Linked DNA regions of Canis lupus familiaris. The protein of the gene in region 4 interacts with the protein of the main gene of each other region in a pairwise test. Links are inferred from orthologs where the notes say so. Each region holds a gene or a part of one and is shown on either strand. Other genes may lie near its edges. The genes, in order: LMO4, CCHCR1, NTAQ1, CCDC102B, MAGOHB, HMG20B and CCDC120.

Evidence for each region.
Region 1: the proteins of CCDC102B (region 4) and LMO4 interact in binary tests that used the Homo sapiens proteins (3 or more experiments, as listed by UniProt). The two-hybrid records come from large-scale screens. The link is inferred for Canis lupus familiaris from reciprocal best matches to the Homo sapiens genes CCDC102B and LMO4.
Region 2: the proteins of CCDC102B (region 4) and CCHCR1 interact in binary tests that used the Homo sapiens proteins (3 or more experiments, as listed by UniProt). The link is inferred for Canis lupus familiaris from reciprocal best matches to the Homo sapiens genes CCDC102B and CCHCR1.
Region 3: the proteins of CCDC102B (region 4) and NTAQ1 interact in binary tests that used the Homo sapiens proteins (3 or more experiments, as listed by UniProt). The two-hybrid records come from large-scale screens. The link is inferred for Canis lupus familiaris from reciprocal best matches to the Homo sapiens genes CCDC102B and NTAQ1.
Region 5: the proteins of CCDC102B (region 4) and MAGOHB interact in binary tests that used the Homo sapiens proteins (3 or more experiments, as listed by UniProt). The two-hybrid records come from large-scale screens. The link is inferred for Canis lupus familiaris from reciprocal best matches to the Homo sapiens genes CCDC102B and MAGOHB.
Region 6: the proteins of CCDC102B (region 4) and HMG20B interact in binary tests that used the Homo sapiens proteins (3 or more experiments, as listed by UniProt). The two-hybrid records come from large-scale screens. The link is inferred for Canis lupus familiaris from reciprocal best matches to the Homo sapiens genes CCDC102B and HMG20B.
Region 7: the proteins of CCDC102B (region 4) and CCDC120 interact in binary tests that used the Homo sapiens proteins (3 or more experiments, as listed by UniProt). The link is inferred for Canis lupus familiaris from reciprocal best matches to the Homo sapiens genes CCDC102B and CCDC120.

Annotation. Positions count from the first base shown.
Region 1 is NC_049227.1:61,435,912-61,440,067, forward strand, and holds the start of LMO4 (LIM domain transcription factor LMO4), read right to left. Parts: upstream 2,801-4,156; 5' UTR 2,257-2,800; intron 181-2,256; exon of another isoform or gene 89-180; intron 1-88. UniProt on the Homo sapiens protein: Transcription cofactor. Plays a role in establishing motor neuron identity, in concert with MNX1, acting, at least in part, to disrupt LDB1-LHX3 complexes thereby negatively modulating interneuron genes in motor neurons.
Region 2 is NC_049233.1:987,770-991,269, forward strand, and holds part of CCHCR1 (coiled-coil alpha-helical rod protein 1), read right to left. Parts: coding exon 3,433-3,500; intron 1,130-3,432; coding exon 966-1,129; intron 863-965; coding exon 727-862; intron 565-726; coding exon 454-564; intron 275-453; coding exon 125-274; intron 1-124. UniProt on the Homo sapiens protein: May be a regulator of keratinocyte proliferation or differentiation.
Region 3 is NC_049234.1:22,155,276-22,159,533, reverse strand, and holds the start of NTAQ1 (protein N-terminal glutamine amidohydrolase), read right to left. Parts: upstream 2,801-4,258; 5' UTR 2,709-2,800; coding exon 2,620-2,708; intron 1-2,619. UniProt on the Homo sapiens protein: Mediates the side-chain deamidation of N-terminal glutamine residues to glutamate, an important step in N-end rule pathway of protein degradation.
Region 4 is NC_049222.1:9,328,040-9,331,539, forward strand, and holds part of CCDC102B (coiled-coil domain-containing protein 102B), read right to left. Parts: intron 2,063-3,500; coding exon 1,450-2,062; intron 158-1,449; coding exon 1-157. UniProt on the Homo sapiens protein: During interphase, forms fibers at the proximal ends of centrioles to maintain centrosome cohesion. During mitosis, dissociates from the centrosome following phosphorylation to allow centrosome separation. Contributes to CROCC/rootletin filament formation.
Region 5 is NC_049248.1:11,017,109-11,021,326, forward strand, and holds the start of MAGOHB (protein mago nashi homolog 2), read right to left. Parts: upstream 2,801-4,218; 5' UTR 2,707-2,800; coding exon 2,613-2,706; intron 1-2,612. UniProt on the Homo sapiens protein: Required for pre-mRNA splicing as component of the spliceosome. Plays a redundant role with MAGOH in the exon junction complex and in the nonsense-mediated decay (NMD) pathway.
Region 6 is NC_049241.1:56,240,175-56,244,225, forward strand, and holds the start of HMG20B (SWI/SNF-related matrix-associated actin-dependent regulator of chromatin subfamily E member 1-related), read right to left. Parts: upstream 2,801-4,051; 5' UTR 2,743-2,800; intron 2,464-2,742; 5' UTR 2,446-2,463; coding exon 2,408-2,445; intron 2,073-2,407; coding exon 1,964-2,072; intron 1,453-1,963; coding exon 1,249-1,452; intron 714-1,248; coding exon 593-713; intron 291-592; coding exon 244-290; intron 1-243. UniProt on the Homo sapiens protein: Required for correct progression through G2 phase of the cell cycle and entry into mitosis. Required for RCOR1/CoREST mediated repression of neuronal specific gene promoters.
Region 7 is NC_049260.1:42,413,317-42,416,816, reverse strand, and holds part of CCDC120 (coiled-coil domain-containing protein 120), read right to left. Parts: intron 1,578-3,500; exon of another isoform or gene 1,508-1,577; intron 1,071-1,507; exon of another isoform or gene 1,035-1,070; 5' UTR 992-1,034; exon of another isoform or gene 935-991; intron 763-934; 5' UTR 721-762; coding exon 672-720; intron 525-671; coding exon 391-524; intron 1-390. UniProt on the Homo sapiens protein: Centriolar protein required for centriole subdistal appendage assembly and microtubule anchoring in interphase cells. Together with CCDC68, cooperate with subdistal appendage components ODF2, NIN and CEP170 for hierarchical subdistal appendage assembly.

The DNA.
Region 1 (4,156 bases), on a different chromosome or scaffold from region 4:
GAGGTGGTGGGAGGGGAGGCAGGGGACGCGAGGGAGGGGGTGCGGTGTGTAAAGTTGCGAAACTGGTTTTTCGTATTTTAAACAGCACCTTTCACATGCCATTGTGGTGACCGCCATCTCCCATTATTGTTCCAAATCTCATTTCATTTTGAAGATCAATGAGTGTTTTCTCTGGGTTTTCAGGACACAGGCAAGAATAATAGATCATTGAACTTTAGGATGCCTGTTAACTTCCTATACAAACACTCTCCACTTTGGTCTCACTAATCTGCCCTTGATCAGCAATTTAAATGCTAAAGCTTTGTTCCTCCAAAGGGGGGGGAGTGTGTGTGTGTGGGGGGGGGGGGGGGGCGACGTTACAGATAATATGCGAGAAGGCACTATTAAGGGATGCACAAGTTATATTCGAGCCAGTCCTGCTGTCACCAAAAACTGCTTTTAAAAAAATTCCCCACTCTTTCTAATGAATGTCACGAGAAGCAACTGGGGTATAATATAGGAATCAATTTATAAAGCTTAGCCTAAACCGATTAATTTGTTGCCTCCAATCCTGAGTCCAATAAAGTCCTAGTGTTCCTCCAGTCACTTATTCTATAAAAAGATCAAGTTATTTACTGCCAATTAAGCAGCCTGTTTTGTCTTTGTCCTCTGTAAGCCGAGAGTGGAGGCTCCCCCCGAGGCTCCCGGCTATCTGCTCAAGACATTCAGCTGATACCTCAGAAGGGAGAGGGCGAACTTTGCCTGTCCCCGGCCCAACTTGGCTGCTGCAAAAAAAAAAAAAAAAAAAAAAAAAAAAAACAACCAGGGGAAGGGAACGAAACAAGGACTCGGGTTCCTTAAATAGGCCGATTTTAAACACATTTCCTCCGAAAGAGTCCCGGAACGTGTGTCCAGTGACCGCACAATAAACCAGAATAAGAACTGCACCAATTAAGCTGTAACAAAACCCTGAGACTTTGGAAACAGGACCACTCTAAAACCCATTAGCATTGCATTTATCCGAATGCATCATACCTTTATGTAAATTGATTTATCTGATGCATTTACTCGAGGAATTGCTTTTTGTTACAATTTCAGCCCTAACCCAAATGAATCTGCATTTCCTGCCCGAGGTCTTTAAACTGTTTCCCCCAACGTTTTAATCGCTCCGAATTCCTTTTTAAAAGGGGAGAGGGAGGGAGGAGATTCCAAGCTCTTCCCCGCCCCCATCTTTGGTGAGAGGTAAATATATATGTATATTTTTTTCGAAAAGGAAACATTACACTGAGAAAAGCATCCAGTAACCCCATTAGCTAAAGCTCTTAAGGACAAGCAATACCTTAATGCTGATTAAATCTAAAAGAGATGAATCAAGAGGACTGACCAGAAACTGACTCCCCTGATAACTAAGGACGGGCCCTCATCAAGTTTCATTTAGAGTTGGAAAAAAAAAAAAAAAAAAAAAAGAAAGCTTTTAAGTTAAATAGGCTTATACTCTAGTAATTACATAGCCAAGCAATTTAGGTCCTGGGATAGTCAGTGAAATAGAAAGCAGAACTGGCAGCTAGAGGCAAAATCTGCCCCCCTTTAACAACGTCTCTGGTGTTTTTTAATGGAGACCAGGGGAGGGACAAACGTAGCGCTGGCAATTTGTAGTACAAAAATGGATGCTTAATTCATGTCTTGATTTTAATTAGGTGATTCACCGGATTTCTCCTGGATTGGAACAAAAGACTTATAAGCCAAGAGGAATTTTTGAAAAGAACCAGCAATACTGAATCCTGCTCACTTAGATCCTTTCTGCCACTGTTTCAAAAATAGTGTTTACTGGGGGGCTGGGGGGGGGGGTCGTGACTATTTCCCCCACACTACTTCTCATACTTAAACCCTCATTTAAGCACCTCCGGCCTTTCCCTTAGGAACTGAAAATACCCCCCCACTACCACACACACACACACACACACACACACACACACGCACACACGCACACACACCCCTCCCCACCCTCCCAGGTCCCCAGCAGCCCCGTCTCCAAGAAGAACCCTTTTGTAAGCAGGAACCGCTACAAAGCTGGCGGCCCGGGGCCGGCTGCCCTCCGTGCTAGCTCGCAGGCCGGCCTCGGTAGTTTCAGACTCGCGCATTATCCAAGCCGACGTATTGTTTACTTGCAATTTGGGACGGTCAAGGGAAGGAAGCCAAAGAAAACAGCCCTGGCCCACATCGGCCCCCTCCTCCCTCTGCCCCCCCTCGCCCGCGGCTCCCCAGCCGTCCCCTTACCTGCTTTTCCCCTATATTGCAATACTGCGAGAGGCGGCGGCGGCGAAAAGCGAGCGAAGCCGCTCGGCTTCCAAGGAAGGGGCGCCTTGGCTGGCGGAGCTGGAGGGAGGGGGGATGTTCTCGCAGAAGCAGGAAAGGGGAGGAGGGGGCTAAGGGCTGCTTTTTTTTTTTTTTTTTTTTTTTTTTTTTAAACGCGTCGCCCTGAGGCTGGGTCGGGGGGCCCCGCCGTAAGCGGCAGGCGGCCGGGAGCTGGAGTGTCAGGCTGAGTCCTCCGCGTCGTCCTCCGCCTCCGCCTCCGGCTCCGGCTCCGCGCGAGCAGCTGCAGGAGCCCGCGGCCCGCGCGGCGCGGCTTCAGGCGCGGCGCAGCGGCAGCAACTGCTGCAATCGCTGCTGCAAGTTTGGCAATGTGGCTTCACTTTGTATATGCCCCCGCCCCCGCCCGCGCGCCTCCCGCTCCTCCTCCTCCTCCTCCTCCTCCGCCTTCCTCCCTCCCGCGCGCCCGCCCGCCCGCTCGCTCGCCCGCTCGCTCGCTCGGGGCCGGCGGCGGGCGCTCGGCCGCGCTTCCTGCCCCTCCAGCCGGGGAGCGGCCGCGGGCACCAGAGCCCCGGAGCGGCGGCGGCCGGCGCGGAGGCCGGGAGCCGGGGAGCTGCGGCCGGCCGGGCCCGGCGCGCTGGAGCCTGCGCCGCTGCCCGGGCTGCTGCTGCTGCGGCGGCCGCCCGGCTCGGAGGAGGCGGCGGCGGCGGCGGCGCTGGCCTCTAGCCGGCTCGCTCGCTCCCTGCGCGGCGCTTACACATGTGTTACTGACAGAGCCGAATCCCAACTACTCCCCGGCTCTGCCGCCGACGTCAGCGACCCTCAGCCACTGGGCGGCCGGGTTGTTCAGGCGGAATAATAAAACCTGCCAATCCGGGGCAGGACAAAGGGAGGACTGGAACGAGACTCCGCGGGCGGGGGAGCGGGGGAGGCGGCGGGCGGAGACGGCCCGGCCGGGGGCAGGTGGGCGGCCGAGCCCCGGGGACCCTCGCGGGACCCCCGGCGGGACCCCAACCCCCTCCCGCGGGGGGCAGGATGGAGCGGCCGGGGGCGCCGCTCCTGCCCGCGCCGGCGATCGCGGGGACCCGCACCCGCGCGCCCCTCGGGGACCCCCCCCCCGCGCGCCCGCGCGAGCCCCGCAGGAAACTTCTCGTCTTGCTCAAAAATGGGTCCCCTCCTGTTGGGGAGGAAGAGTCTCCCCGAAACCTCCGGGCGGGGGGCTTCGCTCGCACGCAGAAGAGGTTTTGTTTTTCTGCCTTTAATTCGCGGGCGTTGGAGACGGATGAGCCCTTAGTGGGAAGTTGAGCGAGCGAGGAGGTGGGGACCGAGTCCGCAGGTCTTGCAGGACTTGGCCGCCCGGCCCCGGTCCCCCGCGTGGGCCCGAGCGCCGGCCGAGAGCCCCGTGGGCGTCTCGTAGGGGATCGTCCGAAGTCGGAGCTGAAGAGCTCACAGCCCGGACTTTGGGGGTCCAGGGGAACTTCAGGGAGGAGGGCTCGGCCTCCATCCACCCCTGCTGTGCAGGAGGAGAGGCCCGATTCCTCAAGCCCCCCGTCCCCCCCCCCCTCCCCCCCCAGACAGCAACAAGGAATGGCAACATTCACCATCCCACAGCCTCTGGGGAGGAAGAAAGGTCACGTCTAGTATAAATTTAACTGTTGAGGAATGCTTTTAGGGTGCTGCTAGCCTGAGAGTCTTTTTCCAGGGCCCCGAGCTCAGCCTAGATGCTTGAGTACCTAGTCATTCAACTTTATCTGCTCTGCCAAATAGGTTTAATAAATCTCTGATCTGAGGCTAATATTAGGTCTGATTATTATTAGTAAGTTCCAGAGAGATTTTTCTGGTGGAAATTATCATGAAAGTGCAAAGC
Region 2 (3,500 bases), on a different chromosome or scaffold from region 4:
GGTACATAGGGTAACTCTTCAAGAGATCTTTGGTGGGTAAGTACCATCCCTTGTGTAAGGAGCCAGGAGTTGGTGGGGGGACGAACAGGGAGAGAGAGTCAAGTGAGAGGGTGTGTCAAGTGACCTGTCCCTTCAGCTGCGCCACACATCCTCTGTGCTCCAGCTCTTGGGCCTTCAGCTGCACCATGAGGGCAAACACCTTCTCCCGCCAGCGCTTCAGCAGGGCCTGGCACTTCCTGCTGAACTCGGGCTCCAGGGAGTCTGCAGGCTGGACCTGCGTTGGAGGAAGGGCCAGAAGTGCGCCCAGGCTTTGTTTTTTTGTTTTCTTTGTCCCACCCAAGCCACAAGAGCCACAGCAAGAAGAGGGCTTCACTGAAGAGAAGGTCCCAGAAGGTTCTGGCAGCACGGCAACTCTTCCCACCCTCGGGGAGTTGCTGGAGGCAAGGGGCCTACCTTCCTGGTCAGCTCCTCCTCCTGCATGGCAAGAATGTGCATGAGGCTCTGCACACGCACCTGCAGCAGCTCCGCCGTGGTGTGCAGGCCATCCCGGTCCTCCCGCAAGTGCTGCAGGAGGAAGTGCAAAGGAGGGAGCGGCTGCTCTGCAGGCCCTCAAGCCTGATGCCACCCCTTGTCAGCAACTGCTTTCAGGGGCCACCCGTCTCCCAGGATCTGATCCCTGAGCCTTCTCACCCCACCTCCAGCCCACACAGAGGCGCACTCTCTCACTTTCACTGTTTCTAGAAGCTCCTGTCGCTCCGATTCCCAGGTCTGGCTGTGGACCTCAGGAGGGACTTGCTCCCCCACATATCTCCTTAAATTCTCAACCAAGGTCACTTGTGCCTCTAAGTCTTCTTCGGTCTTGCTGGGGTTGGGATGGGAACCGGGCAGCCATCAGTGAGGCACCCTGGAGACCCGCCACATCCACCCGCCTGCCGGATCCCATTTGCTGCCCACCCCCACTTTACCTCAGCTGCTTCTGTAGCAACTCGGCCTCTCTCTGGGCCACAGCCAGCTCCTTGGCTTCCCCTGCCCTCCTAGTTTCCAGACTATTCAGAGATTTCTCCAAGCCCTCAGCTTTGCTGGTCAAACTGGAAAGAGCCTCCTGGTGTGCCTGTGTCAAGGACAAGAGCTGTGGAGAGAAGAGAGGGCACAGAGGGGCCAGCTCACTCCCACATCTGGACTTTCTGAATCCACTCCCGCTCAGACCCTGTCCTTGCAATCCCACCTTCCATAACCTTAGAAAACAACGTGGCAAAATGGAGACAGTCCCTGGTGCCCCACTGTCCTCCGTCCACCTGCCATTCTGTCAGCGGTCCCTGCCAGGTCTCTCTCCACTAAATGTATCTTCACTTCTGTCTCCAACCTTAGCAAGCCACCCTCCTCTCTGGCCTGCACAATACCAACAAACTCCTGACCAGTCTTCAGAAGCCTTCTGGGGCAGGGGCCGCATGCGTGGCTCAGTTGGTTAAGCGTCAGACTTTGACTCGGGTCATGATATTGGGGCTAGAGACAGGCCCCGTGCTCAGTGGGGAGTCTCCTTGTCCCACTCTGTATTCCCCTCCCCCCATTCATTCTCTATCAAATAGATGAAAAAAATTTTTTTAAGATTATTTATTTATTTAAATCTTTATTTATTTATTTTTTAAACTTTTATTTATTTATGATAGTCACACACAGAGAGAGATAGAGAGAGAGAGAGAGGCAGAGACACAGGCAGAGGGAGAAGCAGGCTCCATGCACTGGGAGCCCGACGTGGGACTTGATCCCGGGGCTCCAGGATCACACCCTGGGCCAAAGGCAGGCGCTAAACCGCTGCGCCACCCAGGGATCCCCTAAGATTATTTATTTATTCACAAGACACACAGAGAGAGGCAGAGACACAGACAGTGTCTATTTAAAAATTTTTCATCAGGGCACCTGGGTGGCTCCGCGGTTGAGCAGCTGCCTTTGGCTCAGTCCCGGGATCGAGTCCCACATCAGGCTCCCTTGCATGGAGCCTGCTTCTCCCTCTGCCTGTGTCTGCCTCTCTGTGTCTCTCATGAATAAATAAAATCTTAAAATAACAAAAACAGAGCTCACTGCTCTCAAGGTAAAGTACAAAGTTCTGAACAGGCCCCAAGGACTCCCCGTGCGTACACCATCCAGGGCACCCCCCCTCTTCTACACTCATACCCCTTGACCCTCTGGCCTCCTTATGCCCCACAGGCTGCCAAGTGTCGCCAGCTCACCAGCCAACTCCTATTCAGCTCAAATGACAACTTATCAAGATGCATCTTTCATAAACCTAAAGGCCATTTTTTTTTTTAAACTACCTGCTGTGTCCATTTTCTGGCTAGATTGCTACCTTTCCCTTATCAACTTCTAGGCACAGAGTATATGTTAGGGATATTAGCCTTTTTCACGATATGAACTGTAAATATTTTTTATCATCTGTTCTTTAATTTTACTTTGTCATTTTTACTGTGTCATTGTGTTTGTTCAGGACTATTTTCCCGGTACATAGGGTAACTCTTCAAGAGATCTTTGGTGGGTAAGTACCATCCGTTGTGTAAGGAGGCAGGAGTTGGGGGGGGATGAACAGGGAGAGAGTCAAGTGAGAGGGTGTGTCAAGTGACCTGTCCCTTCAGCTGCGCCACACATCCTTAATTTTAAAATTATAAAGCCAATGTATCCATCTTTCCTTTAATGACTGGATTTTAACTCATAGGTAGAAAAGCCTTCACCAATCTGTTATAAAGGAATTCACCAGGGGTACCAGACTGGCTCAGTCAGTAGATAGAGCATGCAACTCCTGATCTCAGGGTCATTTTGGGTGTAGAGATTACTTAAAAAAAGAAAATCTTTAAAAAAAAAAAAAAAGGAATTCACCCATGTTTTCTTCCAGTATCTTTATGGTTTCACTTCTTAACATGTCAACTGGTTAGGATGGTCTCCCCTAATGCCCTTGTCCACATTAGGGCTTCCTGTCCTTCTCCTTCCTGGCATTTCTCCCAATTGCAATTAATTAATTAGGATTACATAAGGTGTTGAATGTGCAAGTCCCCCAGTTGGGTGTCAGCTCCACCCACAAGGACTCAGGCTGATTTGCCCACCCCAGAGTCCCCACACAGATCTCAGATGGCAAAAGGTAGCACTGAGAAATGCTTGCTGAATGAGTCCTCTCCTTTCCCCAGTCCACCTCAGGAGACCTCTCCCACCCTCCTCACCACCCTTACAATGCTCCCACATGAAGTGGGTATCCTGAGTGAAGCAGGAACACAAAGTACTTCCTACTGAACAAAGACCAAAACACCCAAATTCGTCTTTCACCTTCCCCAGACATCTTATTACTCCACTGGTCATGGGGACTTTTCTGTGAAACTTGCTCTTTGCTAGGAAGCTTCTGGCCAGTTCCTCCAGCAGGAACTGAACCCTTCTCACCCCCATATTCACCTGCTCCTGGTGCAGCCTCTTAATCTCTTCCAGTTCCCGCTGGCTCCCTTCTTCCAGGTTCTTTCGGA
Region 3 (4,258 bases), on a different chromosome or scaffold from region 4:
AGAACAGCCCTCCACAACATTAGCACGTTCCACATGTCAATAAAGCCATGGGTGAGAAACCCTGGGTTAGGGCATAGAAGGCAGGCTCAAAATAAGATTGCAGAAACACAAGTGACCAGATCTCTGAATATGCTCAGGAGACAGACTTTACTGTTTATGCCTATATTCCTGAAAACGTGATCAATGGACGAGTGTAAGACTCCTCCACTGTACTGTTTACACACCAAGACTCTCTGGAGTAGAACCCTAAGATCTGCACACTTTACAAGCTCCCAAGTGATTCTATGGCTCATTTGAATTTAGAACGACTTTTAGCAGTGTGAAGCCAGTTAAGGTTTAGGACCTGAGGGAATAGGAAACAGATCTGGGCAGAGTCCTATAAGGAAGGGCTGGAACAGGCCCCTGACAGCCGAGGAGGGCTCAGCCCACAGCTGAAGGAACTTAATTAAGGGAGGCCATCTATTGAAGAGATATCCATTCCGACCATTCTTCCAGCAGACCACTGCACTCTCGCTGTACGAGCCACCTTGTTCCTAGAATACTCCTGCACACTTCGTTCTCAGAGCCTTTGCACCACTGCTCCCCTGCCTGGGATGATTTTCCTCCAATATCCACAAAGCTCCCACCGGTTTTTTTTTCTTCAGATCTCTGCTCAAATACCACTTTACCAACAACGCCTTCCCTAAATATCCATTATAAAAGTGAGTCACCATCCCTTACCTTTATTTTTTCATAGCACTTAACACCAAACATGGTTTTACGTGGTTTTGCCTGCTTTCCCTGAACCAAAATATTAAGAACCATAAGATCTTAACTAGGGAATCTATTTTCTGCTGTCTCCCAAGTGCCCACAATTGTAATATCACACAGTCCACATGCCTAATAAACATCAGATGAACAAGTAAAATAATGAATGGGTGCTAGGGACAAAAACTAATAGGATTTAGGTGAGAGGTAAGGCAGTACTAAAGTACAGTCTTTAAGAATCATGGACTCCTGTACTACAGTTCCAATTTCAGCCCTGCCTCTTGCTACACGTGTGACCTTGGACATGGCTTGTCTGTGGCTCATTCTTTTCGTTAATAAAATGAGGTAAATGACAGAACCTATCTCGGAGCCATGGATGGAAACACTTGACACTAGCCCTGACATGCAGTCAGAGCGGAACAGATGTAAATTGGTGACATGGTTTGACCGCCAGCTAAAGGAGGAAAAGGTAGTTTTAGATGGGCCTAAGGTTTCTTTTGCAACTGAAAGTTGGGGAAGAAGTCATTAATTACTCAAGTGTACGAGCGAAAAAGACAGAGGTAGGAGTGGTGATTTGGTCACACAGGTGGCCTAGGCCAAGGGGATAGTGTGTGGACTCCAGAGCCAAACCCTGCAGGTAAATCCCCATTTCTTCACTTACTAGACAGGATGGCCTTATGCAAATTAGTTGCACCCTCTGTGCTTCGATGTTCTCATCTTTAAAACGGGGGTAACAATAACACCTACCCCCGCTCAAATGAATTGGTTTACATAAGCCAATCAAAACAGTGTTTGGGGGGATCCCTGGGTGGCTCAGCGGTTTAGTGCCTGCCTTTGGCCCAGGGCGCGATCCCGAAGTTCCGGGATCAAGCCCCACGTCGGGCTCCCTGCATGGAGCCTGCTTCTCCCTCTGCCTATGTCTCTGCCTCTCTCTCTATGTCTATCATGAATAAATAAATAAATCTTTAAAAAAAAAAAAAAAAAGGGATCCCTGGGTGGCGCAGCGGTTTGGCGCCTGCCTTTGGCCCGGGGCGGATCCTGGAGACCCGGGATTGAGTCCCACGTCGGGGTCCCGGTGCATGGAGCCTGCTTCTCCCTCTGCCTGTGTCTCTGCCTCTCTCTCTCTCTGTGACTATCATAAATAAATAAAATTTTTTAAAAAATTAAAAAAAAAAAAGTGTTTGGGGGGGCACCTGGGTGGCTCAGTGGTTGTTGCCGGGAGTTCTGGGATCCATCCATCGAGTCCCACATCGGGCCCGCAGGGAGCCTGCCCCCCCCCCCGAATAAATAAGATCTTAAAAAAAACAAACAAACAAGTGGCATACAGCAAGTGCTATGTAAATACAATGGGCACGATCAGGACAACATGGTGGTTAAGCTCATGGTTTCTGGTACAAGAAGGCCTGAATTGGATTCCTGGCTGCTATTAGCCGATGACCTTGGAAAGTTACTGCAAAATCTCCGCTCTCCCATTCTCTTCCTAAAATTAAAATGACCTTTCACATCAGTGGGGAAACCACAAAGGCTTCAGCAGGATAATCCGCAACGGTTCTCTGCGCTCCACCCTCCGCCTCCAACTCCCCTTTCCTGGCCCCCAGGCACTGAGATCTGCCGACAAAAGTCCAAGCGAAAGGCTTCGGGCATTAGTAATGCACCACCGAGCCCACCCCCTGGGAATCCGCCCCCGCCCCGTGCCTGCGCTCCTCTCAAGGGCCGAGGGCTGCCATTCCCGCTCCCTCAGCCCCCACGCGGGAACCTCGCCGGACGAGACCCAGAGCGCCCCCAGGGAGGGGCCGGGAAGAGGCGGGGCCCGGCCGCGACGCCGAGACCGCGGGAGCCGGGATGCCGGGGGCTGCGCCCGCGCCCCCTCACCAGTAGCAGCTGTTGTAGACGCAGGCGTCCCGCGGGGGGCTGGCCGGCTGGTAGCGGGCGGCGGCGGCGGCGGGGACATCCCCCTCCATGGCGGGCTGGCTGGGGCCCGGGCACGGCCTGAGGCGAAGCGACTGCACCAGCCCCGCGGGCAGGCTTCGGGGGAGGAGCCGGCGTTCGGCGCGCGGCGCGGGCCTCCCGGGCGGAGCCTGAGGCGGGGGTGCAGTTCCCTCCCGGGCGGTGGAGCCAGGGACCCGGCGGGCGGAGCCTGGGTGGAGCGAGCGACGCAGCTTCCGGGCGCGCGCCGCCAGGGAGGGCGGTGCCAGTTCCGGGTGGACGGAGCCGGGGGCCGCGCGGGCTCCGGCGGTTCCGGTGGGCGGGGCCTGGAGGGAAGCGCCGAGCGGGTTCCGGGAGCGTGGAGGCCGGGCCAAGTGGGCGGATCCAGGGCGGCGAACGGCGTGGGTCTCCAGTGGGCGGGGCCTGGGGCGAGGAGGATGACGTAATTCCTGGGGGCGGGGCCTGGGGCGGAGCTGGGCGGCTGGGGCGGGGCCGGGCGTGCCCCGCGAGACTGAGGTCAGCGTGGAGAGGGCAGAGGTCACCCGCAGGTCGCTCGGAGGAGTGGGGGCAGAGCGTGGGGTTGGTCAACCGCCCAACCCTAAATGGCGCTTCGGGGATCTCCCGGAGGCGTCGGAGGCCCTCTTCCAGCCCGGGTCTGGGGTTGCCAACAGCCGTGGAGGAACCAGAAGAGACGCCAAATGAGAGAACCTTGTATGTAAAAAACGGAGCTTTAGCAGTTTTTTCCTAGAGGCCGCGGGAGCGCAGGGGCAGGGGGGACCGAATTCCAAATACGTCCGGGGCCAGCCACCCCGAAGCTCACCGCGCTGTGACAAGTTTTTATTAGAATTGTGTACGTTGACCCAGAAAAATATAGTGATTCTTGGTAAAGTTTTTAAAAGTTTAAAAGGAGTCCTCATGGCATTCATTTCGTGTTAATCATATTTTTATTTGCCAGCAGCCTGGAAGGAAAGACCCCAAATTATTAAAACGGTATTTATCTTTGATGAATGAATGATATGAAGGACTCTCACTTTATACTTAATAGCCTTCTGAATTGTCTTAGACTAGTAATGAGCATGCATAACTCATCAGGGTACTTCCCATGATAAAAACTTAAATTCTTAGTCTGTTCATAGGCTATCTGCAGTCAGGCTTTCCCAATGTCAGGAGTTCGAAAGCCCATATGTAAATCCTAAACACTTTGAGCATATGTCGTTGTGTCAGTTATCAAGGCATTGCCTCTCAGCTCTGAACACACTTCGACATAGGCTCTGTGATAAATAGCAATTACTTTGAGCATTTCTCCTTCAAAGCGGGCACCAAGTTAAGCCTTCTGAGTAAAGTATGCTGGAGGAAGAAGCTCCTTGCAGTTTCTAGAGCAGTACAAGAGTTGGGAGTGTGATCCTGAGTACATCCTGTGGGGTCTGCCCCAGCCACAGGTTCAAACCCAGTTCCTCTGTGACCTTACAGCCCAAATTTGGCAATAACCTTCCTACAGCCCTCTTAACCCAGAAACCAGAGTCCTGTGAAGCCTGCAGGCAGCCACTTGCCCATACTTCTTTGGCAAACCCTTCAATGGCCTGTG
Region 4 (3,500 bases):
CAGACACTTCATTCTCCAAAGGTAGGTTTATTGCTTGCAGTCTTAATGCAGATTTCAGTGTACAGTTTTCAGTACCACCATTCTTGAATGAATCAGGGCTGTTAAGATTCAGTTTCATCTCCTCATTTAACCTTAACTGGTCAATAATCAAATCTTCCTGAAAAGAAAAAAATATAAAACAACTATTGTTAATTTTTTAAATCTAGTGCAGAAAACACATGAAGAAAACATATTTTGGAGAGGAAATAAATATTATGATTCACCATCCAATTACTATTTTCATTTATCAGTCTGTAATTGAGACATATGACTGAACTTTAACTTGCATTCCTTAAGCCTTTTTTTTTTTCCTTCTATGTTCTACATTATAGTGAAATACATTTCAGTCTATGAAAACTTTTTTATTTACAATGGAATCTAGGTTATATCTACCATAAATCCCATACATAATAGAAAGGTTTAAATTTTTAGATTGAATCATAGAAGAGCAAGATATCATGCTCTATATTTTTAGAGGTGGAATTAGAAAGGAGTAACAATATAAACTGATATTATTTAAAGAAATAAAATGAATTCCTAAGGTTTCTGAAAGTATGTTCCATGGGTTGTTAATAGTATTTACCAGGTTAAAGAAAATGGATAAATAAGGTTACAAACTGCTATATTAGATAAAGCTTCTAAAAAGTTTATTTTGTGCAGAATTCTTAAAAACTTCAAGACTCTAAGAATATCAAGAAATTCCACGAGTGGATAATGTGAAGCATTTCCTAAAGGTATTTGCCTATAGTACCCATTTTACAGGAATTAATCATGAAGCCAAAGTCCCAAACCTTTGTATGAAACCTACTGTATGAACAATTTATTATTATTGTCATAATGAGGGTAAATGGAGAGAAATCTCTCTAAATATTTTCTTTTCACATAAAAATGCTAATTTTTGCTAAAAATATTACTAAGATCAGTAATATGGGCTGTTGAACTCTGTCTCTTCCCAAAAACTGGTATGTTGAAGTCTTAGCCTGCACCCAGTACCTTAGAATGATACTGAATTGGGTACAGTGTCTTTAAAGAAGTCATTAAGTTAAAATGAGGTTAATATGGTAGGCCTAGAGATAGTGTCTTTACAAGGAAATTTGAAGATAACCACACACAAAGAAAAGACCATGTGAAGACACAAGGAAAAGGTGGCCATCTGTAAGCCAAGAAGAGGCCTCAGAAGAAACCAAACCTGCTGACACCTTGATCTCACATTCCTAAACCTCTAGAACTATCAGAAAATAGATTTCTGTTGCTGAAGCCACCCAGATCTGTGGTACCTAGGTATGGCAGCCCAAGCAAGCAAATGCAGTCACCACTGGGTTTGTCATTTTCTCTTTCCTCCCCATTACTGTATACTGCATTCAAACCCACACATAATCTCTGGATTCCTCTGTGGAGCTTTTTTCTTACCTTACTGTATGTGTTGTCTTTTGTAGGAAATTCTCTTTTCACCAGATACTCTCTGATAGACTTACATGTTTGTGAAGCAATTTGAAATTGGTCTCCTTGTGCAGAGGACACTTCCATGAAGCTGGGATGCTTCAGGTCCTGGGTAGTTTCTAACACCTTTTGGTGTGGCAAACTCTGTTTCTTTTTCAATTCGCTCAATTCTTTCATTGTCATCTCTAATTTTATTCTGAGCTGTCTTCCTTCCTCCCTGGCACTGTTCCTTTCAGCCCGAACTTTGCTCCACTTTTCTCTCCAATTAGCAGTGCAGTCTGACCACCACCGCATGGTCTTCTCCATCTGGGCAGCTCTGGCCTTGACTTCTTCAAGCTCCCGCAGGCGAAGCTCTTCACAAATATTCCATTCATTGGTATTGCACGAGTGTGCACAGAAGTTGTGAGCAGCATGTGATTGCAGCCCCTGAAGTGGCAAACAGGAATGACAAGTGTCCCTAGGGGAGGAATCAGGGGCTACGATGTCACAAGGTGGTTTTACTGATGACTGCTGCATCTGGAAGATTTGTGTTTCTTCAATTAACCGATGGATGGAATCTAAATTCATATTTACCTTTTTGGGTCTAAAAAAAGAGAACATAATTAACATTTTAGTTTCCATTGCAATGGAATGAGCAAGACCTATATTACAAAAAGAAGGTGGATGAAAACAATATATCTTTCAATATTACATATTTTCTTTTCCACTATAACTAAAAATACAGAAGAACTTATGTATTTGTAATTATCCTCAAAGAAACAGAAATTGCTCATATTAAATTTGGCCAAATGAATACAAATAAAAATATAAAGATACAATCGGGAATAGCATATGACATGAATAATTCATTTTAGCAAATCCAATTCTTTTTAGGTAATATTTACTGTAATCTGTATTGTCCCTTAACTACTCAGGGATCCTCTTTTCCCTGCTAATTCAAGCACAACCCATTTAAGTGGAAGGCGGAATCTATTGATCTCCAGGTCCCTTTTCTAATCCCAGGGGCTAAATCCTAATTGGTCTAACTCTTTCATGGTGGCCTACATGTCATTGACCATGCATTAGCATAGGATCAGGTTCCGGCTGAGATTTGAGGGAAAATTTGTTGGGAAAGTTTCCCAACTATAAAACAAAAAAATCACAAAGTGAGAAACTCTTTCCCTCTGCTTTCTTCCTGCCTAAACAAAGACATGATTCTGGAAGAAGGCAAGTGTAACAGCCACCTGATAATACTTAAAATAATGGAACAGAAAGAGGAAAAGGGCTTGATTTAATGATTGAACTGTGGCATGAAATCTCTGGTTATCGTACCATGTGAGAATGGTTACCTAACTTTATTTAAGGTGTGATTGTTGAAGTTTCTGTCACTCCCAGTTCAAAGTGACATTAGATTGATACATGAATTACTTTCATCCCATGGTTAATATTATGATAAATTCTAAAAAAAAAAAATATTGTGAATAAGACATGGTTTTTGTCTTAAAGATTTTGGAGTTCAGTGGGAGACAAGCACATGAAAATTAAAAGTACATATTCACACTATAAAAGTATAGTTATTTACTCAATCAATCTTTTTTTAGTATATATTATGTGTCAAATCAGTGCTAGGTTGCTACGGTATGTAGGAAGCTCTGTAAGAAGCACTGCTCAAGGAGCGATGAACTGTCTCCTAGAAATGAAAAGACTTCCCAGCATAGATAACAATGTTATCAAAGTTTCATAGCTTTCATGTTATCATAGTTTCAAAGCTTTATAAAGGAATTACAAGCAGCTTCCCATATATATAACACAGACAAATTAATTGGTCAAAGCAGACCTACTTATCAGTATGTACACCCATTACTTTATTCAATATTGCAACATAGCCATATTGATGACAGCAAGTAGAATTTTTTTAATAAATGCTTAAAACATGCAGGTTAATCTATAAATTAATAAAGTTCTGAGGTCGTATAATATTACCCATTTTTATTATCAAATAAGATTTATTGGTATAAATAATATTTAATGTACATGACATT
Region 5 (4,218 bases), on a different chromosome or scaffold from region 4:
CATAAGATCAATGCTAGACCTGTAAACACTCAAATATTTGTTGGTAAAAAGTTGGCTAAAGGTGAAGCCAGTCATTTTCAAAACTTTCACGCCTTCAATAGATTTTTAAAGTATTTAACATAATTTTTAAATATTTCATGCCTTCAATATAATTCAATATAATAGAGGGGTCATTTTTAAGGCTCATTTGCCTAAGCTGTCATGAACTAAACAGGGACTCTGAAAAAGGAATTAACATTTTTTTTAAAGCCTATGTAATAGGTCTCTATTGGCCCTAAGTCATTTACCCAGAGCATTAGATCTAATCGGTAAAACAACCCTTAAAAGGTTTTATTCTCTCAACTATTCATAGTTGAGAAAACAGAGTTAAATAACTTGCCCAGGGTCACAAAGATTCAGTTCTAGGTCTACCTTCTTCCAATACTCCTGCTTTCCCCACTACTCCAAAGTGTTCTTTTAATTATCTCCTTCAAATTAATCTATGCATGGCAATGCTACTATTTAACACTGTGGCTAAGATACAAAACTATGTACTGCTTCTAGATAAAAGTCGGCCAGTTTGTTAGCTGACCTACACTTAACTTTAATCCATGACTTTTGTACTCCCTGATGCATGCTTCTCCTCATAGCTATAGTCAGTTGTTCATATACATATGTAATGTGGTCCTGATCTCTAAAATGATAGGTTACCCTAGTGCAGTGACCCTTGATCACTGAAGGAAGTATATGGAATGGTGTGGTGGCAGACAACTGGATGAAAACCACTGTTCTGGCATGAACTCTCCCTGATAAATGAGACTACTTAATTTATGTGACTAAACATGATCTAGGCAAGCTGAAAGCTGTTTACAGGCAAAAGCACTAAAAGGAGTATCACCTAAGAAAAGATTAGATGGAGAATTCAGGTAAATTTGGCTCCTTAGCTAAATTTAGAAGAGACATGGCAAGAACATAGGAGAATAGTGATTAAGGTTTCTGAACTGCAGGGCTGTAGTTACTTTGAGTTTCTTTTTATGTCTGATACTATTCCCCCTTCTCTAATATGTGATGATGCTTCTGTGCTTTATCTTTCACTCTCACAGAACTCTGTCCAAAGCATAACACATCATTTAATATCCACACTGTTTTATGGCTAGTTTTACATCTTTGTTACCCAAAGCAAAACTCCTTCAGAGAAGTTGAAGAGACTTGCTCATTATTGTACCCTCAATTTTTGTATTTTACATGTTGCCCAGCATATAACGGGCATTCAAAGACAGAAAAATCTATGCAGGTGGACTGTCCTGGTTCTAAGGAGAGTTCAATATACAATAACTCTCTAAAGAGAATCAGGGCTCTCAAAACATAAAATATGCTGCACCTACAAGGCAGCAGTTTCCACCTTATCCTTTGTTCATGCTGCTTCCCACGGTCTGAATGTTTGTTGTTGTTTTTCCCTCACAGGCCAAGAAAATAGCTATTCTCGAGATGCCTGGGTAGCTCAGCGGTTGTGCGTCGGCCTTCAGCTCAGGTCGTGATCCCGGAGTCCCGGGATCAAGTCCCACGTCGGGCTCCCTGCATGGAGCCTGCTTCTCCCTCTGCCTGTGTCTCTGCCTCTCTGTGTCTCTCATGAATAAATAAATAAAATCTTAAAAAAAAAAAAAAAAAGTCTATTCTCATTTCAAGACTCATCTTGAAAGAGGTTTTGGGCTACCTCCACCATGATCTCAAACGCACCTTTGCCCCTCATTTTTTTTTGGCATGTATTTTTGGCATTTTGGCATGTAGAGAGAGTGTTTGAGACTCTAGTCCATGGTCTCCTTGGTGCCGGCCTCTCTGAACTAAATTCCTTTCTTGTTTCACCAACAGTAGATTCTCTGCCTTTGGATGTTATCAGCGGCTGCGCCCCCAATCTGGTCTGTTTGGGAACCCCAGAATAGCCCTGCATACCAGCTACAATTTCAAACGTTACCTTCTCTAGGAAGCTTTCCTCGACGCCTACATGTAGCCCTAACCATTCCCCTCTTTTGTATTCTTAACGCATCCTATGGGAACAACTATATTTAATCACCCAAACCACATCATTATACCCATTCTTCCATACGTGGAGCTTCCTTCTTCAGAGTGGGTCTCATTCCTATTCCTAGACACGTGGCCTTACAGACAGCGCCTGAACGAATACAATGGTTGAATGGGGAGTCCGAGAATCACCGGTCCCCGAAAGATTTTAAGCATCCATTGGGCCAGTGCGTGGTGGGATGTTCTTTAAAATGTTCAAGGATGACGTCAAGTAAACTAGATGGCATTAGGGTCTCTTCCGGTGCGCTGAACGTGGGATTCTCATTATCCTATGTTCAAGTTTTCAGTACCTGGCAGGATTCGATTTTCTGAATTCATCTACACCCGTGAATTTTCTTTTATGCAGAGAACCAACTTCTGCTTCTGAAGAGTCTTCAGTTCGTATTTACTCCGGCTCTAGCCGTGACCTCGGCCCCCACGACAGACTCGCAAGCCCCCCGACGCTGGCTCACCGCACCCCGCCTCCTCCGAGTCCTCTCCGCCCCGCTTCCCCCAGCCGCGCATCGCGCTAGGCTGCGGCGGCGGCGGCGGCGGCGCCCCGCTCCGCTGCTCACCGTCTGGCCGAAACTCGAACTCCAGAAACTCGTGTCCAAACTTGCCCTTGTGCCCTACGTAGTAGCGCAGGTAGAAATCGCTGGCCATAGCCATGTTTGCGCCCCCTGAAGCCCGCCCAAGGCCTGGCCAACGTGCCGCCGGGCGCCTGGCAGCCACGTCATCGCGCGGGATAAATGCGTCACTGCGGGCGCGCCTTTCCGCTCCCGGGTCCCTGGAGGACCGTGGGGGGAGGCGGACTCTAGCTGCTCAGAGGCGCCCGGGCGATAGGAACTTTGCGTAATTAAGGTTGGAAGACCATTTCCCCCCCCCCCCCCAAATTAAGTAGCTCATATTGTATTGGCAAAACTAATAATGATTACTTATGGGTTTAGAATGAAGGTTTGCAAGTCGCTTTTCCTCCTCGAATCCCTAATCCTCGCGGCATCCCGTCCTCACGAGGTGGGTGTGGCCTCATTCCCCTTTAACTGGTGCAAAAAGAAACAGCCCGGAATCAGAATGGTAGACCCGGACTACCGGCCCTTTCCTGAAGTTAGCTTCTTCACCGGGGCTTTCCCCTTTGTACAATGATGGAACCTAGAATAGAGGCGAAGTAGAAAGAATCCATCAGACAAGAGGTCTGAAATTTGAAAAGCGCTTTGAAACTAAAAATCTCTGACATTTACCGTATTAAGAGAGTTCCTCTTAATAGTAAAACTTCCATCATTCAGTAAGGGTTGATCTTTGGTAGCCTGTGGAGTTTGGGGAATGTGACTTAAGATCAAATGGTTTAGCCCACATTTTTTTTTTTAATTTTATTTCTCCAGGGGGAGGGGCAGAGGTAGAAACAGACTCCCCGCTGAGCAGGGAGCCCAACTTGGGGCTGCATCCCGGACTTGAGGATCGTGACCTGAACAGTAGGCAGATGCCCAACTGGCTGAGTCACCCAGGCGCCCCAGCCCACGATTCTTACCAGAAAGAATTAAATTGGGGAGGTTAAAGTAGTGTCCCAGTATAGAATGGGTTTTGGAGGAAGTGGAAAGAAACTTTATACACAGTCTGCTTTTCGAATATTATTGATCACCCTTGTTTTTACCATCAGCGTAATTCTGTTGGGTGACCTTTAACCTTCAGCAGGATATAGAGGAAAGAGTGGCAGTCAGAAGACCTGGGATTCATTCCCATCACTTACCTCTACTAACCGTGGTTTGCTTAGTCACTGTTGACGCCTGTTTGTTCACCAACCGAGTGAATATCCTACAATCAACTTTGCCAAGCTCAGGAATTACTGAGAAGATCAAATGAGATAATAAATGTATAATAAGTTTTAAAATTTGTAAAACACATAATGACTTTAACATTTAGCATTTCTTATGTGCCAGAAATGGACAGACACTGGTAATAATAATAGACCCCTTTATACTGTTAGTCCAGAGAAGAAAGCAATCATGTAGACATGTATTAACACGAGGAGGCAAACCTTAAAAGAAAGAATATTTTTAGCTCTTTGAAGAAGATACAGGTGCAATAATAGCAGAACTTTGTACACCCAGCTTCAGCTCCTGACTCACTGCTGTTCCCTGTCCCAGAGGAACAAGTTCATCAGGGAGCCAAGCTGCAGCCATGGCT
Region 6 (4,051 bases), on a different chromosome or scaffold from region 4:
ATGGGGGGGTGGGGCAGCTACAACCCCTCTGGGACGTCCCTCAAGCTTGAGAGGGATTCCTCTGGCCGTCTGCATCGACGTCCTTTTAACAACATTCCCACCATGTGGCTGCCCCACGTCGGCTGGCACACTTGGAGGCCCGGCACTGCTTCCTCCCGTGAGAGCTGGCTCTGGCTCACCCAGGGTCTAAAGACCTCCAGACCTTTCTCACCCAGGCATGGTCCTAGGAGGAGGGGTACTTACCTTGTGTCCATTCAAGAGCGTATTCATGAGCCCAGAGCCCGAGTCCTCTGGTGGGGGAGGGAGGAGGGCAGGATCAGCCTGGCAGGGGCCCACACATTGCTTTGCAATGCAAGTGCTGTCCCCCCTGCCTGGGACCCCCCCCCCAGGTTAGCCCTACTTGTCCTGGGGCAGGCTCCTGTGAGGACCCCCAGTGTCTGTGTGCCCCCGCGTTGGCACTGCTCAGCCCTGTCCACCCACAGCTGTCTCGTCTTCATGGGACTGAGTCCCATGGAGGAGGGCAGGTCGGTCTGCCTGGGTCACCTGTCTCAGAGCCCGCACCCAGCTGCCTGGGGGCTGGGGCCCTTCCCACCTTTCTTGATCTTCTTTTCCTGGATCTTCTCCGTGCACATCTTGTAGGCTTCCGACTGCTGGTAGGCGCGCAGCTCCTTCATGTACTGCTGCTTCTCCCGCTCGGCCTCATCCAGGTACCGCTGGTGGGGGCAGAGGAAGGCTTGTCCCAGCCCAGGGGCAGGGGCGGCCGGCCTCCAAGGCCAACACCGCACCTTCCCACAGCTCCCTCCTTGGAGGTGAACCCGGCTCCTCGGCCTGCTGTGCGGGGCACCTTCCTCCCCCAAACTCTTGCCTTTAAAAGCCTCTCCCAGTTGTCTGAGGGCAGGCTCCCATCTCCAGGCTGGGCTGGGCTCCCACACCCATTTTGCTTGGTGAAATCCCACTTAGAGGGTGCAAACTGGTGGTGTGTTTTGTTTCCTATATTTTTGCAACTTTAATTAGCAGGATTTGAAAACCAAGAGCTATCACATAAAAATCCGGCCCCCACTCCTACTTCTTTAGACCTCTCCGTGTTGGTTATCAAGCTTTCCGTGGATTCCTGCTTATTGCGACCCTCCCCTCCTTCCGCCTGCTGGGGAGGGCTCAAGGGTGGTCAGTGCTCCCCGCGGAAGCCCTTTGGGGGATGTGGCCGCAGGGCAGTGTCCGAGTGGGCGGGGCAAGGTCAGTGGTCCCCACCTGCTTCTCCGCCGGCTGCAGCTTGCTCCACTCGGCACCCAGCATCTTGGTGATCTCGGGAAAGGGCAGATCCGGGTGGCGCGTGCGAATCTGCTCGCGCCGCTCGTTCAGGAAGCGCACGTAGCCGGTGACCGGTGCCTTGGGCCCATTTGGCAGGATCTTCTTCCGCTTCTTGCCCTTGGGCCAGCCGCGCTTCTTCACGGGCTGCAGAACAGTACCCACTCCGCGCCGTTGGGAGGGGCCTGGAGGGTTGGGGCGGGGCTAGAGGGCTGGGCGGGGCCTATCCTGGAAACCTGCAGGTATGGCTTGATCAAGGGCCAGAACTGGGAGAGGGCGGGTTTCGGGGAACGCCGGCCGCGCGGGTGACGGATCGGAGGTCCCGGGCGATCCCGGGCGCGGGGCATAAGGAGCCGGGTTGGGCCCAGCGACGGCGAGTGGGCGTGGCACCTGGCGTGGGCGTGGCTTCTCGCCGGAGGAAAGCCCCGCGGGACGACGGGAAGGTGCCTCCCACCGGACATTTGGCGGTGGGCGGGGCCTGGGCTCCGAGGCCGCGGACCTCCGGGGGCGTGGCACGCGGCACGGGGCGGGGCCTCAGCTTCGGGAGGAAAATCAGGACTGCGGGCGGGGCCGCAGCTAATTCAAATCCAGCCCGGGGTGGAGCTTCCAGGCGAGGGGCGAGCCCCAGGGCTGCCCCCACCACGGCGCAGGGACTCACCTCCTCCTCGTGGGACCCCTTCTCGCCGGCCCGGGGGCCCTCGCCGCGCTCCTGCTTGACGGCCACCACGAAGCCCCCGTGCGGTCCCGGAGCCTTGCCGCCCGCCGGCCTGGAGCCACGGGACGCCAGGGTCACCGCCGCCCTCACGTCCATCCCGACCGCGGAGCTGGCACAGAGGGGCCTGGGGCCCGGGGCCCGGGAGCAGGGCTCTGCGGGGGTCACTATCCGCGGGCCGGGACGGAAGCACGGGGGTGGGGGGCGGGAGAGACCCCCGGGAGGAACCGGGGCGGGGAGCTGGGGGCGTGCGGGGAGGTCCTGCCCGGCAGTGGGGGGAGTCAAGACCCGGGGGCGAGGGGCGAGGGGCGAGGGGCGACGAGCTCCGACAGGGAGGGCGGGGGCGGGGCTGCAGACCCGAGTGGGCTGGGGGAGGGGAGTCGCACTCACGCGGCGGCCGCGCCGGGCTGCTTGGAGCCGTGGGACATGGCCGCTCCCGGCCCCACCTGGAAGGCAGACGCGTGGCCGGGTGAGCGGCGCCCGAGCCGCCGACGGGCCGGGCCGGCGGGGGATCCCGGAATGCCGGGCCCGGGGTGTTTGGGGGGGCCGGATCCAGGGGCGGGGAGGCCCTCGAGGGCGGGCGCCCCAGGGATCCTTTGTTGGGCGATCGCCCCCCGGGAGGGCCGGGCCCACTCTCCCCCGGTCCGGGAGGGGCCCCTCCCCGGTCCCGGGACCCCCGCGCCCCCGCCCCCTCGCAGGGCCCCGAGTTCCGCGGCTGTTTTCACCTCCAAAGAAACTTTCCCGGACCTCTCGGCTGCTGCGACGCTCCAACCAACCGCCCCGAGCCCGCCCCTGCCGCTCGCCCCGCCCCCGGCATGCTAATGCGGCCTCCGCGAGCCGTCCGATTGGGTGCAGGCTTTCCCTGGGGCGTGGCCATGCAGATGAGGGTTGGCGCGCCGGCCGGCGATTGGCTGGGGCAGCCGCTGGGCCGCGTGGGAGGTGGACGGGGAAGGCCGCGGGCGGGTGCGTCAAGTTCGGCTGCGCTCGGCCGCTCTCGGGGCCAATCGGGGCGCCTTGGGGCCGCGCCGGGCGGAGCCCCTTAAAGGGCCAGTAGGGGCGGCGCGGACTCCTCCTCTCCCGGCCAAGGCGAGACTCCCCGCCCCAGCGGGATCCCGGGACCTGCCGGGCGAGATCGCGCCCCTCCCTGGTTGCCATGGAGACGGCGGCCGGTTGCTAGGGAAGGGGGTTAAGGTCCTTCCCCGCGGCGTGGCGGTCTCCCCCACCCCCCGCCCCAGGACGAGGTGGGACCTGTCTTCGTATCTCGCAAACCCGGCGGGGAAGTTACCCGCTAGTCCCTGAAGTTAGGGCCCCGGCGTCCCGCTGTGCCCAGCCCCGCAGTGCGCGGGCGGGGGCTGCTCTTCCCCCGGAGGCTCCGCTTTCCCTCCCGTGCAATGGGGACCTTGCACGATGTGCAGGACCAGGAGGCTGGGATGCCCGAAGCTGAGGCCCGGGGCTGGGACCCCGTGGAGATGGAGGGGCAGGAGGCTCTGCTCTGGGATCTGGGGGAGCCCCAGGCGGCAGCGTGGTCCTGTGGCCTGGGCTGGGACTTCCCCGACTCCCAGGATGACAGCTGCGGCCGCTGGATGCTCACGATGTCCCGTTAGTCCCCAAACAACTCTCCCACATCACCGCCCTGCCCTCCTCTGCCTTCTCCACCTCCTGATGCCCCTCACATACAAATAGGTCCCTTTCTCTCACTCCCGCCTCCAGGCTTTTGCACCTGGTGTGCCCTTTCCTCCAGATTATCCGCCTGGCTCATGGCTTGATCTCCTTCAGGTCTTTGCTGAAATGTCAGCTTCTCAATGAGGTTTCCCCCATACACCTTATTTGTTCCCCATGTGTTTGTTTCCTCTGCTACATAACAGTTTTGTTTTCAGTTTTATTTAAGTAAGCTCTACCCCCAACGTGGGCCCACCCAGAAATCAAGAGTCACATGCTCTATGACTGAGCCGGCCAGGCGCCCCCCAAAGAACAAAATTTTAACAGAATAAATTTGAAAATCTAAGTGGCTTTGTTGAGGGATTCATGGGTGGA
Region 7 (3,500 bases), on a different chromosome or scaffold from region 4:
CACCCCCCCTCAGAGCCTAGGGCTGCAGGCTCGGAACTGCATTATTTCTGGCAAACCGCGTAGACATTCACACTGAGAGGGCTAAATCAAAGCTGTAACCCACCCCTTGGCAGTTTCAGGTCAGGTTTTACTGCCAGATTTTGGAAATAAGTATTGTTTTTGAGGGTTTGGGGGGTTCCAAATTGCTGATAGGGAATTGGAGGCCTGTACTGCCGCATTTTAGTGATTTCTAAGCTATCTGAGTTGGGCTTTGAGGAGCTAGAGGGTGACAGGGAATCTGCAGCCCAGACAGGTGGCTCAGCAATTGGTGCCACCCAAATCTGCCTACTTGGGGGCCCCATCCCCTCACCGCCCCCTCTCAACCAAACGCTCTTAGGGTTGGGCCCTCACCGCCTCCTGGAGACACACTTTGCGGAGCTCCTGAAGTTTCAGGCTCAGGGCCTCCTGTAAGGCCCGCTGCCGGTCGAGCAGCCCCCGCAAACGCTCTGACTTCACCTGGGGGGCAGCTTCTCCGAACAGGGCAGCTAGATACAGAGGGAGCAAAGTTCAGAGCAAAGATCGGCCAGGGTATCCTGGTGCAGCTGTGGGGCTGGGGACCAACCCTTTCCAAGTAGGCAGGTGGTGACTCAGAGCAGGGGAGGAGAGGCAGAGAGGAAGAACTGGTCACCTACCTGAGGCATTGAAGGTGGGAGAGCTGATCAGCTGACCTTTGACTTCCATCCTGGTGCTGTCGAGAGGCCGTGGCTGATGGCTGGACAAGGCCTGGCAGTGACGCATGGGAGCCATCAAGGGAGCATTCTGCATCCACTCCCCCCTGCCCCTACCGAACTTCCCGCGCCCCAGCTGGGAATGAGGTGTACCCTGACCCCACCCGCCTGATGGACCTGCCCTCTCAGAATCTGTATCAGCGCCTGGACCCACTGGGTCCTGGTACCTTGGTTCCCTTCCCATTGAATGGAAGCACAGCACACGGGGAGCTGGGCGGACTTACAACGCCTCCTCAGAGGCCCATGGGCCGCAGTCAGGAGTCTTGCCTAGGGAAGGAGAATTAACGGTACGGATTCAACCAACTGTAACAAGGATAGGCACCAATTAAGCACCTCGATCATGTAACAGCCACCTTCCATGCCACGCTGAATCTTCCTACCATCTTTTGATGGCAACTCTGGCATTATCGGCCTCCCATTTTCGAGATGAGAGCAGTAAGGCACAGAAGGGTGAATACCCTGCCCATGGCTAAGGGTGTAGCCCAGGCCCACCCCTCCAGCCTTATTCTCCTCCACTGGAGCAGTTCCAACCCCACCGATGCCCCAGGGCCCTTGCCCAGGCTATGGCTGCCATCTGGAGTGCTTTTTCCACACCATGCCTCTCCAACCCCTGGTTCTCACTTAGATTCTGGGGCTTAAATATCACTTCCAGAGGTGCGCCCCTACATATGGCCCCTCACAATGGCTGTCCAGCAAGAGACTGTGCTTCCCTTGCACGTTCTCTAGGACAAGAAACATACCTGTTTTGTTTTCAGGGTATCTCTGGCACTCAGAACACTTCTGAGCAAGCAGCAAGTGCTCAATGAATGGCTGTTACAGAAATGAAAGAATGCTAAGGTAGCCAAGCTGGGGATCTAGCGAGATGTGTGGATCTCTACTTGTCCCAACTTCATCCTGCAGCCCCGATGCAGCACGGGGAGTGTTCACTTAGTCCCAGGACCCCTCCAGCCCCTCTCCCCACCCCAATCCGTCCTGTACCCAGCACAGGGAAGTCACCCTGCTGGGACTGTGAGCAACAAAGTCCACAGCTGCAGATAACAAGCCTCCTGCCTCCTGCTTCCTTCTCTGCCCCCAGACACCCTGGCTGACCATAGAGCCTCCCTTGGCTGGCTGCCAGCCCTGCCCTCGTCCCCTCCTCTGGAGTTTGCTCCTTCCCTCCCACATCCTGCTCGGTCCCCAGCTGACATCACCTCCCACCACCTGGTGTGACCTTAGGTGGCAGGCAACTAGGAGGGCCTCATGAGGCCACAGAGGTCCCATCCCCTCCTAATCCCCAGCTTGTCATGCCATGGGGACCAGGTGTGGAGAAGACCCAGGCAGCTAAAGAAGTGTAAGTTCAAGCCCCTTCCCCATCTATCTACCAGGTGATGGGGCCAAGCTGCTAATATGCTGCCACCAGTCCTGCTACTGACTCCACAGAGTCTGTATGCCTCCCAAAAAACAGTGGCTCCCTGTACTCAACCTCAGGGTCAGGGGTCAGTCCCTAGAGCCTTTCTGCACATCCCTGCACTTCCCGGCAGCAATGTGCGCTTTGCAGATGCCCACACTCCAAGGTCTGATACTGCCCAGCGTGGCAGGGTTTCCTCGAGGTCCCAGCTCAGCCTCTTCAGCCCCTAAGCTCCTGGAGTTCCTTCTTCCCCAGCCCCTTTGAGTCTGAGGAACTCTCCCAGGGTTCCCCTAAACCTTCCTCCACCCTGACAGGAACTTCAACTCCTCCCCAGTGGGCCCATTCATTAGGATTGCTCCCACATCCGACGCTGGACTGCCTTGAGCCTTCCTTCCCTGAGAGCTCATGGCCCTGAAGTCAACACGGGGTCTAGACAGGAACCCCTACTCCACCCTGTCAGCCTGACCTCGGGGACATAGCTTAGGCCTGAGTCATGGGGTCACTGGGTAGGCTAGACACAGGGTCAACACCCCACACCCCCACACCCAGCTCCCAAACCTCTGCCTTTGACTCTCCTGCCCTCTCTGCATATTTGCCCCAGGGTTGAGAACTGCCTCATCCCCACCTGGAGACTGTGAGAAGGGGGATCCCAGCGGTCCCCTGCCATAACACTCCCCCACCCCAGCCCCCAAGTCCTGTCTTAGGATAGGCTGCAGCAGGAGAGCTGCAGAGGGTACCCCACACACACACCCAGAGGCGGGCCCAGCAGGTTTTTCAGGTCTGTCCTTCTGACACCACAGCCGAGAAAGAAATTCCTGGCTGTAATGACTGTTTACAACCAAGACACCTCACCTGGGTGGCACCCTAGCACCCTCAGTGGGACCCCCCCCCCCATTTCCATATCTTGCCACTATCAAGCCAAGTACAAACTCCCAATGTCTGGGACTGCTCCCTTCACTGACCTAGAGCCCTCCTCCCAAAACTCTGGGTGAACAGATGGGGGGCAGGCAGGTGTCGGGAAGTAGTTTCTCAATAGCCCAGTCTGGGCTTTCCCGAGGGGCTAGGTCCCAGGTTGCAGGAAGGCAGAGGCTACTCCCTAAGGGAGGAAGGGGGAGAGGAAGTAGGGGGGACAGTGGAGAAGGGGGGAATCTGGCTTCTCTTCTCCCCCATTCCTTCCCCTCGTTCATTTCCGGCAAGGAATCGGCTTCACGCCAGGAGAGGAAATTGGATGTTTTGGGCTTCGCTCCTCTACTCAGGCCCTCCTTCTTCACTGCACCCCTCACACAGACCTGGCTTTCTCCCACAGGAAGCCTCTGTATACCCTATACCCTTCTCCCCCGACCCTG